3 linked regions of the Oryctolagus cuniculus genome follow. The protein of the gene in region 3 purifies or fractionates together with the protein of the main gene of each other region. This does not show direct contact. Links are inferred from orthologs where the notes say so. Each region holds a gene or a part of one and is shown on either strand. Other genes may lie near its edges.

The links.
Region 1: the proteins of L3MBTL2 (region 3) and MGA purify together in Homo sapiens (affinity purification with mass spectrometry; 3 studies listed by BioGRID and IntAct, counting the BioPlex papers as one, with this or other methods). This does not show direct contact. The link is inferred for Oryctolagus cuniculus from reciprocal best matches to the Homo sapiens genes L3MBTL2 and MGA.
Region 2: the proteins of L3MBTL2 (region 3) and LIN54 purify together in Homo sapiens (affinity purification with mass spectrometry; 3 studies listed by BioGRID and IntAct, counting the BioPlex papers as one, with this or other methods). This does not show direct contact. The link is inferred for Oryctolagus cuniculus from reciprocal best matches to the Homo sapiens genes L3MBTL2 and LIN54.

The regions. Positions count from the first base shown.
Region 1 is NC_091443.1:64,844,444-64,847,058, reverse strand, and holds part of MGA (MAX gene-associated protein), read right to left. Parts: coding exon 2,238-2,615; 3' UTR 1-2,237. UniProt on the Homo sapiens protein: Functions as a dual-specificity transcription factor, regulating the expression of both MAX-network and T-box family target genes. Functions as a repressor or an activator.
Region 2 is NC_091439.1:82,838,324-82,842,072, forward strand, and holds the start of LIN54 (protein lin-54 homolog), read left to right. Parts: upstream 1-1,199; 5' UTR 1,200-1,310; coding exon 1,311-1,377; intron 1,378-2,523; exon of another isoform or gene 2,524-2,636; intron 2,637-2,942; exon of another isoform or gene 2,943-3,076; intron 3,077-3,749. Other genes in the region: uncharacterized protein, read right to left, coding at 1-76, 179-833, 954-1,199. UniProt on the Homo sapiens protein: Component of the DREAM complex, a multiprotein complex that can both act as a transcription activator or repressor depending on the context. In G0 phase, the complex binds to more than 800 promoters and is required for repression of E2F target genes.
Region 3 is NC_091442.1:117,288,926-117,292,574, forward strand, and holds part of L3MBTL2 (lethal(3)malignant brain tumor-like protein 2), read left to right. Parts: intron 1-326; coding exon 327-460; intron 461-2,677; coding exon 2,678-2,801; intron 2,802-3,496; coding exon 3,497-3,576; intron 3,577-3,649. UniProt on the Homo sapiens protein: Putative Polycomb group (PcG) protein. PcG proteins maintain the transcriptionally repressive state of genes, probably via a modification of chromatin, rendering it heritably changed in its expressibility.

The sequences.
Region 1 (2,615 bases), on a different chromosome or scaffold from region 3:
TAGCCCTGGCAATTCCTAGTTCTAAGAGGTCTTAAGAACACTGTATGTTGGGAGTTTGCAATGACATCTGCAGCCTTCCCTGAACATCCAGAATCACCCCTCATTTCCACCTTTGTACATCTCTTATAAACAGTAAAATAGCCTCCAATCGATAATTATGACTGGTTTGCTTATTTTCTTCTTCTTATAAAAAGGAAAGCTCAGAAGCTAAAATGTTCAGAAGCTCAGAAGCTAAAATGGTCCTTTTCCTGAGGATTACTCACTTGCCTGCTCTTTGACCTTCAAAAGCCTTAAGAGCCTTGGGAAGTCAGGAGGAAACGGGAAGAGACAAGCAAGGAAACAGTGGGAAACTGCCATTACCTGGGTTAAAGTACTAGCATCTCCAAGGACAATTATTAGCAGGGAAGACAGGTGCTGGATTCCTTGGCTAAGGCATTGAATGAAATCTGCTGGGTAAAGAATGAAAGGGACAATGAGAAGCTGAGGAGCACTCTTTACCTACTTCATGTTTCTATAGCAACCCTCAATGGAGGAAAGGTTACTAAGTATTGATGAGCAAGCCTAGAAAGGTAAGCAGCATAAAACCAACAAAGAATGTGCTCTCACTTCAATTTGCAGAAGTTTCCCCACCCTTTTCAATCTGTTAATTACCAGAGTTAATAGAAAGGGAATCAAATATGGAAGTAACAATTCACTGGCTAGATACACTCCTCAGTTGGTCTCACAACCCAGTTCTGAAGATATGCTGAGTGGGATTTGGGATACAGAGACAAGGGATGTAGAACAAACAGAATCACCTAGGCACAGCCCAGGCACTGGAAGCTCTTGTGTTAGTGTTTTACAACACAAGCAAATCCTGTCAATGAAGACAGAACAGGGGTTACATTCCAAAATATAATTATTTAAGAAAGGCAAAATGCAGCAGCTAATTCCCAGTCTATACATTTTCAGAATAGTGATTCTTGCCCCTAGGAGTTTCCAAGAGACCCCTCAAGTGCACCATGATTATTTACAAACTAGATAGGAAACATTTCTATACTCAATACAAATCTCATCTTCTAGGTTGAAAACTTCAGCCTTTGAGAAATCTATGAAAACTATACAAAAATATAAATATCTTTATCTTTACAGGCTGTCAGTCCTTCATACCTTGACAGCTAATGAGTGAAAAATCTCTACATATCACTGAATCCATGGTTGCAGATAAAAAATATATCTTGTGATTCAAATACTGCCTTATTTCCCTGGTAGAGTGCCTACTGTGACTTTTCTTTACATCCTGTGCAGGTAATAGTGAATGAAACCTTCAAGCACCAGGAGACTGGTTTGACTCAGGAAATATCCAGCCCCACAATTTTTTTTTTTTTTTAATTTGGCCACTGTCTCTGATCTAGGGAGAAAATGCTTTTCATTTTAGCTATCTCGTGAGTGACATGATTTGTGAAAGGCAGAGGGCCCCCTTCTTTGCCTACGTCCAAAACCAATATTCCCCAGTAGAAATGCCTGGCATGGTGAAATGTCCTTTTCCAACATCCACAAAGACAACAGGGAAAACTTTTTTAACACCTCGAAGTAATTACCTTAATAGTAAAAGTTAAAAGTAACCCTACTTTACCAAAAGGCTTGAATTTATAATTCCAATAGAAAAAGTGAGGGAATGGAAGCTACTTGGGAGACCAAAGAGAAAATTTTGCTGAACAATACTAACTCCTTCACTTTGGTATTCCATGATAATCATTCTCTCGCTCTATTCTTGAAACACCTAAAAACTATCTGTTCTGGATCCCTTTTACACAAGTGCATCATATTCCTTAGATTTCAGACTTAACAGGACAGATATCAGCTACAGTTCAGTCCATAAGAGCCCCCAAGTCTCAAGCAGCTTTTTCTCTTGGGGTGGGGTGGGTGCTGGGAGATAACTAGGAATCACTACAGAACTAGTCTTGTTATGAATTCCTTGGGCAAGGGGGCACCTCAAGTTCAGTAAATGGATCATGTCTTCTTAGGATGAGGGGACCCAGCACCACAATTGAGGTAACACATTTAACATGATCAGAATTCCTTAATATTTCTTGTACCAGGGTCGAGCACCCTACCCTCTTTCTCTATCATTATTCGCTGCATCATCTAAGTCAAAGATCACTGTTCTATGACACAAATAAACAGATGCCTGCAGAGAAAGAAGGTGAGATCCAATTTTCCCTCACAATCTGGCTTCTGCCTGAAGACAAATACTTTCATTTCCCTGCAGAACCTGATGAGGCTCCAGAGTTGCCCAATTTAGCCATAACAGGTGCCAACGTAGGCATCACCTTGCTCTCCCGGCCTTCCTGGTCACTCCCTGTTAAGTTCATTTTATTTCCAACTGACCCAACTTTGGCAGCTACAGGTGCCAAGCAAGGCATCACCTTGAGACTCTGACCATCTGTATCATTAGAAGGATTAGCTACTTTTAAACCTAAAGGTGCCAACTTTGGCATAGGCCTCCACAAAGTATCAGTACTGCTGTTGTTCTCCACGCCAGTTTTCATCTGGAGGATGGGGGGCGAGGACATATTTTCAGGCTCTGTAGTGAGGCCAGAAGTACTCTTCTCTCCATCACTAGCTTTCCTATG
Region 2 (3,749 bases), on a different chromosome or scaffold from region 3:
TCAAACACCGAGCATTTATTAACTGAGTGGTCTTTCACAGCCTGTTTTTCCGACTTCACATTCGGATGTCTTGTAACTAGTGGGGATAATAATAGAAAAGATGACTAAATACAAAGAAATTTGACTCCGTTAGTCTTAGCTGTATACAGTATTGCAAAAAAGGCAAGAAGTCCCTTACAAAATAAGTTTAATTCTGCGTGGTTTCCCAGGGGCTTTTTAGCGACTCCTGCAAAAGCAGTACCTATAAAACCAAGAGATTCGGCTTTTGTGCCGAATCGCCGCCTTAGGAGCACATCAAACAGGGAGGATGCTGGAGGACGCACCTCCAGCATGGACTTCCTAACAAGGGAAGCGAGGCGAGAAGGCGGCCTCTGCCAACTGCTGGCGCGATCCGGGATCACCGTCCCCCACCCCCGGCTCGGCGAGATGGAACATTCCGTGCGAAAGCTTTGACAAGGCGCCCAGTCGGAGTCACGTGGAGCCGGAGCGTACTCACGGAGCCTTGCGGAATGACGCGGCTCGGGTTGCCAAGGGGCGGGGCCAGGCGCCGCGGAAGGGGCGGGGCGAAGGAAGCCGGCCCGGGGAGCTAAGCGAGGCGGGGCAGGGCGGGCGGAGTGGAGGGGCGGGCAGAGAGGGGCGCGCGGGCGGGGAGGGCCCGGCGTATTATGGGATGCGGCGGTGGAATGGCGCTGGGCGCGTGATTTTGAACAAACCCGGGTCTGTGCCTCGGAGGCGCCGCCGCCGCCGCGGCTGCTGGGAGCCCAGGGAGCGCGGCGCAAGGAGGAGGCGGCGGCGCCGCCGGCTTTGGTGAGTGTCAGCCCCTGAGATGGGGGCTACCGGGCGGGCGGGAAAGGGGGAGCCAGTCTCCGCTGCGAATGGCAGCGCGGGCGGAGGGCGCCGAACCGCTCCCCCCCGGGAGCCTGGGCGGCGGGGCAGTGGCGGAGAGCGGGCACCTGCCGCCTGGGGGCCGCCGCGCCCCATCCCCGGGCCGCAGGGGGCGGACGATCCTCAGGGCACGGCCCCTTCCCGCCGGCCCCCGGGAGGGCGGCTGTCACTCGGCAGGGCCAACGCCGTGCCGGCCGCCCTGCCCGGCTGACTGGAGGAAGGACTCCTACGGCTGTGGACAGGCGCACAGCGCGGTCCGAGAAGCCGGCCGTGTGGGCCCCGGTGTCAGGGAACCGGTTTTGCTGCTGTGTCATTTGGTATCAGCCCCTCCTTTGCCTGCTGCCCGCCGCCGCCTTCTTCCTACGCCCCTTTGTATGGACTCTTCTTCGTGTGCGTCCGTTTTCCTCGCGAAGCCCACCAGCTAAATGTCACAGTGTTCCCGCGGTGCACGGGGGAAGGGAGCGGGCTGGGGCTCAGCTTGGCCACGCAACGGTAAACAGCCCAGCAGGGTGCGGGTGGACCGGGCTGTCGGTGGGTTGGTGAAGTTTAAGGATGAGGGAATTGGGAACACTTTAGACTCGGAGCGCCGAGCAGGCTGCACAGGAAAGCGGGGGTTGGAGCGGCTGGAGGATAGCACTTGTTTACGCCTGGAGCCGCCGACTTTTGTATGGAGTTGCCTTTCACACAAGGTGGAAATAAATGGCTTTTTCCACTTCCACCTTCCTCTCCTCAGACTAACTTTTCAAAAAAGGCACTGAGAGTGGCTGTATTCGCAACCTTGAAGTTCAATTTGCTTGTTTTACGTAGGTCCTTTAGAGCTTATGGCGTGGTTTAGTGGTATAGAATTTATCTTTTGAAGGGGTGATCTTTCTGAAATTAACAATGGTAACTGATTTTTTTCCAAATGCTGATTTCATCAGAAGCTTTGCAGCTAATGTTTTTCTTCTTAGGTGATTAGAAAATATGTATGTTCTCCTTTAATTGCTTATTAAACTGAATGATGACAGGAACTGGTGGGAGTATGGGGCAACTGGGGTCTTATTCTAAAGCAAACTGTTTATTTTCACTGTATTGAACAAAACAGCAGCGGCAGATGGTTTTTCAATTTGATGACTTAGATCCTAAAAACATTTGGCAAGAAATTTTAGCTTAGAGCTATATTTTCCGTATTTTGGAAATTGATCGTGAATGTTTCCACAATTGGATCAGTACATTTCAAATCCAGTCGCACTTTGAAGTCCGGTCGTCACAGTGTTCGTGGACAGAAGTGACCAGATTAAAGTTGAGTGGAGAGGGAAACAGTTCGGATCCTGGGTTTTAACTGGTGGCTTGTTTTTGACCGCCTACCTGGCTGAGGGTCGGTGCCTGTAGTTTAGGAAAGTGTCAGAGAGGTCAGGGCTAGCATATGGAAATCGCTCGTCCTGTCAAAGTAGTTCTGCGGTTAGAGTAATACGTCAAAGTTGGTGAGTGACATTCACGGTGCGGACAATGTTTGTAGCGTCTGAGATGGACGCCGCGAAAGAAGCCCACGCCTCCACCTCCCTCAAGTTGGTTTCGTGAAAATGAGGGAGTTTGGGCTCTTTATTGTCCCGGTGCCGCCTTCTGCTGGGCTGCCTTTGCACACAAGCCTATGCCGGACTTGGGACCCGCCGGGAGAGCGACTTCCTCTGGCGCCGCGGCGGGGCCGCCGGGCTCGGCGTGTGGTTCGGGGGTGAAAGGTTGGCGTGGCCCGTGAGCACTTGTTCCTCCGGGTGCGTTTGAAGGTTGGCGGGGCCGGCGGGAGGCTTCCCCGGATATGTGGGTGTGCGCCTCTCGGGAGGGGCGGGCCGGGGCGGGGACGGGGAGGCGGGGGGCCGGCTGCTGGCGGCGGCGGCGGCGGCCCGGGCTCGGGCTGCCGGGGAAGCTGCTGAGCTGTGATGGTGATGACGAGGTGAAAATGGCGGATCTTTCGAAATACAATCCCGGCCCCTGACATACCAGAGGCGGCGGCCGCGGCGACGTCGCCGCCCGGGCTCGCTCCCCGGCCCCCGGGTACCCTGCAGCGCTCCAGTCTGGGCCAACTGGGGAAGGAGGCGGCCGGCCGGAGCTACCGTGTCAGGCAAACAAGCACCGCCCGGGCTCGGGATTGCCCGGGACCTTCTGGAGCCCCCACCTCGGAGCCCGAGGGAGGAGAGAGCGGCCGCCGCTGGAGGTAGAGGAGGCTGGGGGTACCCCGAGGGCTCCTCTGGGTAGAGATCGCTGCGTTTCGAGGGGTGCCGGCGGGTGGGGGAAGAATTGCGTTGTGGATCGAGGCATGACTTGCCCGGAGTGCAAAGAAGCAGTAGCCTCGTCATGACATCAACATTATTCTTTGAGGGTGAAGAGGGCTCGAGTTTGCTCTTACACCTCAGGCGCTGCTGAGGCCTAGAGGAACCGCTAGCACTTACCATGATTTCCTGATGTGATACTGAAAATATCCACTCTGCCGGGTGTTGGTTGGGTGGTGTTCACCAGTTTAGGGGGTTGTATGTTTCTTTCGGGAGGCAGAGCATTGGCATTTTATTCTGCATTTAAGGTCTTGGATCACAACCTATAACTTGTTGGGGTGTTGGATGCTCACAGTTTTTGATCATAAGCACCACTATGAAGCCATTACCAATGTTATTTTTTTTCTTTCATGGCTCTGTCATCCATCAAGTGACCCCTTTGCCCCTGCCATTTGGCTGATAACAATTGAGATACTGTTAGTGATATTTTATAACCTTTGCTTTTCAGAGAAGTTCTTCTCTGCCCTCACCCCCTGCCCCCCCACCCCCAGTCCAATTTCTTGAATCCAGATAGTTAAGTTGTGAAGATTTTGCTGTGGATACAATCCAAGTGAAATA
Region 3 (3,649 bases):
CATGTTTTTCTCTTTGACTTCTCTGTCTTGAAAACTTCCTCACTGACCTGTTTCCCCAGTTGTCTTTCTGAAGTTCCCTTAGCCCCGCTGTTACACACACAGCCCAGGGAGGCCGGGCAGCCTCGCTTAGGTGAGGTCCGTTCAGATGTGTTCAGTGTGGCCTCCGCCTCCTCCTCCTCCACCACCTCCTCCTCCTCCTCTTGTGTCAGCCTTAGTGAGGGCTGGCACTCACCTGGTTAGTGCAATGTCCCAGGTATTGAAGGCCTCATTGGGTTTGATTTGGGGCGACCGTACCAGGTGAGTCATGTGCTAAGTTCTCTTCCCAGCTGTCTGTGAGATGTGCGGTATCGTGGGCACAAGGGAAGCCTTCTTCTCCAAGACCAAGAGGTTCTGCAGCGTCTCCTGCTCCAGGAGCTATTCCTCCAACTCCAAGAAAGCCAGCATCTTGGCTAGATTACAGGTGAGAGGCAGCCGCTCGGCCCCCAGGGCCCTGGGTGCTAAAAGAGGACCAGCTGACTGGAGGCCCAGAGGACCTGGGAAGCTCCCTGTTTTGGCCGTCTGAGGTTGGACATTTCTTCTGAGAATTTGCTGTGCTCTCAAACCTCAGTAGGCAGAGGAGTCAGTTTATGGAGCTTGTTCATTAAGAGCTTGCTGTTATCCTTCCACCCCCAAGAGTCGCTCATATTCAATAAATTTAAGTGAGAGTCCTGGAGGTTCTGATCAGAGCTGGAAGCCCTGCTCTTCTCTGCACGCTTTTATAAATGCCTTGAAGGGAAGCTGGGATACAGGCGCAAGGTTCAGCAGCCACAGCGGCATCAGGAAGCCGATGCCTTGTCGCTGACTGTGTCTCATGGGTGGCCACCTGGGAAGTCTTGCCAAGCTCTTGACATTTATAGAAGTTTAGGGATGGAAACACTTGTCTTAGGCACCTGTTGTCAGACCCACAAGATGATGCAGTGTGCCGAGTGCAGGGAGGTGGAACGACTGACCCAGGGCAGCTCTGTGGAGGGAGAGCACTGGGATCTGGGCTGCAGCCTACGCTCAGCTGCCGGCCGTGGGTGTTTCCCAACGTGCACACGTGCCTCAAAGGAGACTGTGCATTCGGAACATCCGGAAAGTTTTGGTTTTTTTTTTTTTTTAAAGATTTGTTTATTTGGAAGAGTTACACAGAGAGGTAGAGACAGAGAGAGTCTTCCATTCACTGGTTCACTCTTCAAATGGCCTCAATGGCCAGAGCTGGGCCAATTAGGAGCCAGGAGTTTCTTCCAGGTCTCCCACGTGGGTGCAGGGGCCCACGCACTTGGGCCATCTCTGCTGCTTTCCCAAGGCGCATTAGCAGGGAGCAGCCAGGTCTTGAACTGGCGTCCATATAGGATGCCTGCGCTGCAGGCCGGAGCATTAACCTGCTGCACCATAGTGCCAGCCTCTAGAAAGTTTTAAAAATATGATATTTGGGGCCGGTGCCGCAGCTCACTAGGCTAATCCTCCACCTAGCAGCGCCAGCACACCGGGTTCTAGTCCCGGTCGGGGCGCCGGATTCTGTCCTGGTTGCCCCTCTTCCCGGCCAGCTCTCTGCTGTGGCCAGGGAGTGCAGTGGAGGATGGCCCAAGTGCTTGGGCCCTGCACCCCATGGGAGACCAGGAGAAGTACCTGGCTCCTGCCTTCGGATTAGCGCGGTGCACTGGCCGCAGCGTGCCAGCCGCGGCGGCCATTGGAGGGTGAACCAACAGCAAAAGGAAGACCTTTCTCTCTGTCTCTCTCTCACTGTCCACTCTACTTGTCAAAAAAAAAAAAAAAAAAGAAAAAAAAAAGATATTTGGGTCCTATACCCAAAGACTGGCTTAACAGGGAAGGAGTGTGATCTTGGCTTGGGGATTTAAAGAGCTCGCCGGTGACTCTGCCTGCCACCGTGATGCTGGTGGCAGTGCCCTGAGCTGGCTCCGGCCGGTGCCTCACTCACTGCACTGCCTTTGCTTCCCTCGTTTTGTGGGTTTTATGCAACGCATGAAAGAGAGCTCGTGATGTTACTTGGTAATAGTGACATCGGGGGACACCTGTTGAGGGCTTGGCATTCCCAGTCTAAACAACGATCCTAAAAAATTGACTTTACACAAATTCCTGTTTTAAGAGTTTAAGCATTTGAGTAAAAGATATAGAAAGCTTCAGAACCGGGGTTGGCCCCCAGTCTGTGTGGGATGTCATCCTCCATTTCTGCCTCACTGATCTGTGGTAAATTCCTGGCTTTTCTGATCAGTGCGTAAGTTACAAAGTATGCACCAGGGCCCTGGCCTTTCCCTTTGGGGGTGACCTCCTCTGAGTACCTGAGGACAGCACGGGAGCCTCCGTGGAGCACAATTACCTGTGTACGGAATGCTGCCTCGTGGAGCAGAGACTTCGTGGTGCCACCCTCCCCCACCTCACCCCCGCCCAGCCTATTCTCTGCGTGGCTCAGTAGCAGCACCAGAGTAAGGAGCTGACAGAGCTAAAGCTGTAGGGAGAGGCCCCTGCTCCGCTGACTACCCACCACCACCATCACCCTCTGAGCTAGGCCTTGTCCACGCTGTGTTTTACAAACTCAAGCCAGAAGAGGATAAGTAACTGAACAAGACCAGGCGGATCCTGACAGTGCCGATCCAGATCCTTAGCCGCCACCTCACGGCCTCTCTTTTCCCTCCAGGGGAAACCACCAACCAAGAAAGCCAAAGTGCTGCACAAGGCGGCCTGGTCTGCTAAAATCGGAGCCTTCCTGCACTCCCAGGGCACTGGACAGCTGGCCGATGGGACGCCCACAGGGCAAGACGGTAAGACAGCAGGGACAGGTTCTGAAAGTGGCTGCGGTGGTGGCCGGGACCCGGCTGGCCCTCCCTGGGAGTGGGGGCTGGGAAAGCTGGACCACTGGAAAGCCCCTGGCCCAGGCTCGCTGCCCGTCACCCTTTCCTGTGGGCTGTCCTGGAAGTTACCTCCTAAAAGCTCCTGGCTCACCCCTCAGAAGTCAGGAATTAGCTTCTTTTGTTTCTCTTATCTCTGGGGCAGTGGAGGCCCAAGTCTGGTTTGAAGGGGCGGCAGTCCGGGGTTAGGATAACAAAAGGAACCTTCTCTGTGTGTGTGTGTAGCAAACTAAGTGTAGGCCCTCGCAGCTCTGCCAAGTTGGCCTCCCCGCCAGCAGGTCTGGGCCTCACTCTGTGCTGCTCCACCCTGTTGGGTTGGATGTGGCCAAGGAGAGGCTGAGGGGTGTGAGGAATTTGAACCCAGGGACACTGGCATTTCCCTTTCCTTGGGATAAGAAGGGAGAGATACTCCTTTGTAAGTGCTCCTCTACCGAGGATTGGCGGCGTCTAGATTTGCCTGCACCCCCTGGTGGCCACTGGTGGGACAGGTCTGGGCGCACTGGGACTGCTGCGGAAGAGCGACTGCTGCTGAGCCCGCCGGCCCTCAGTGCAGTGACCACAGCGCTGCCACCGGGCTTCCAGGCGCCAATCTCCTCTCTGCTCCACAGCTCTGGTCCTGGGCTTCGACTGGGGCAAGTTCCTGAAGGATCACAGTTACAAAGCTGCTCCTGTCAGCTGCTTCAAACACGTGAGTGCCCCGGGTTGCAGAGGGAGGGCAGGGCACACAGCGGAGGCGCTGGCCTTGGTGTGCACACCGCTTC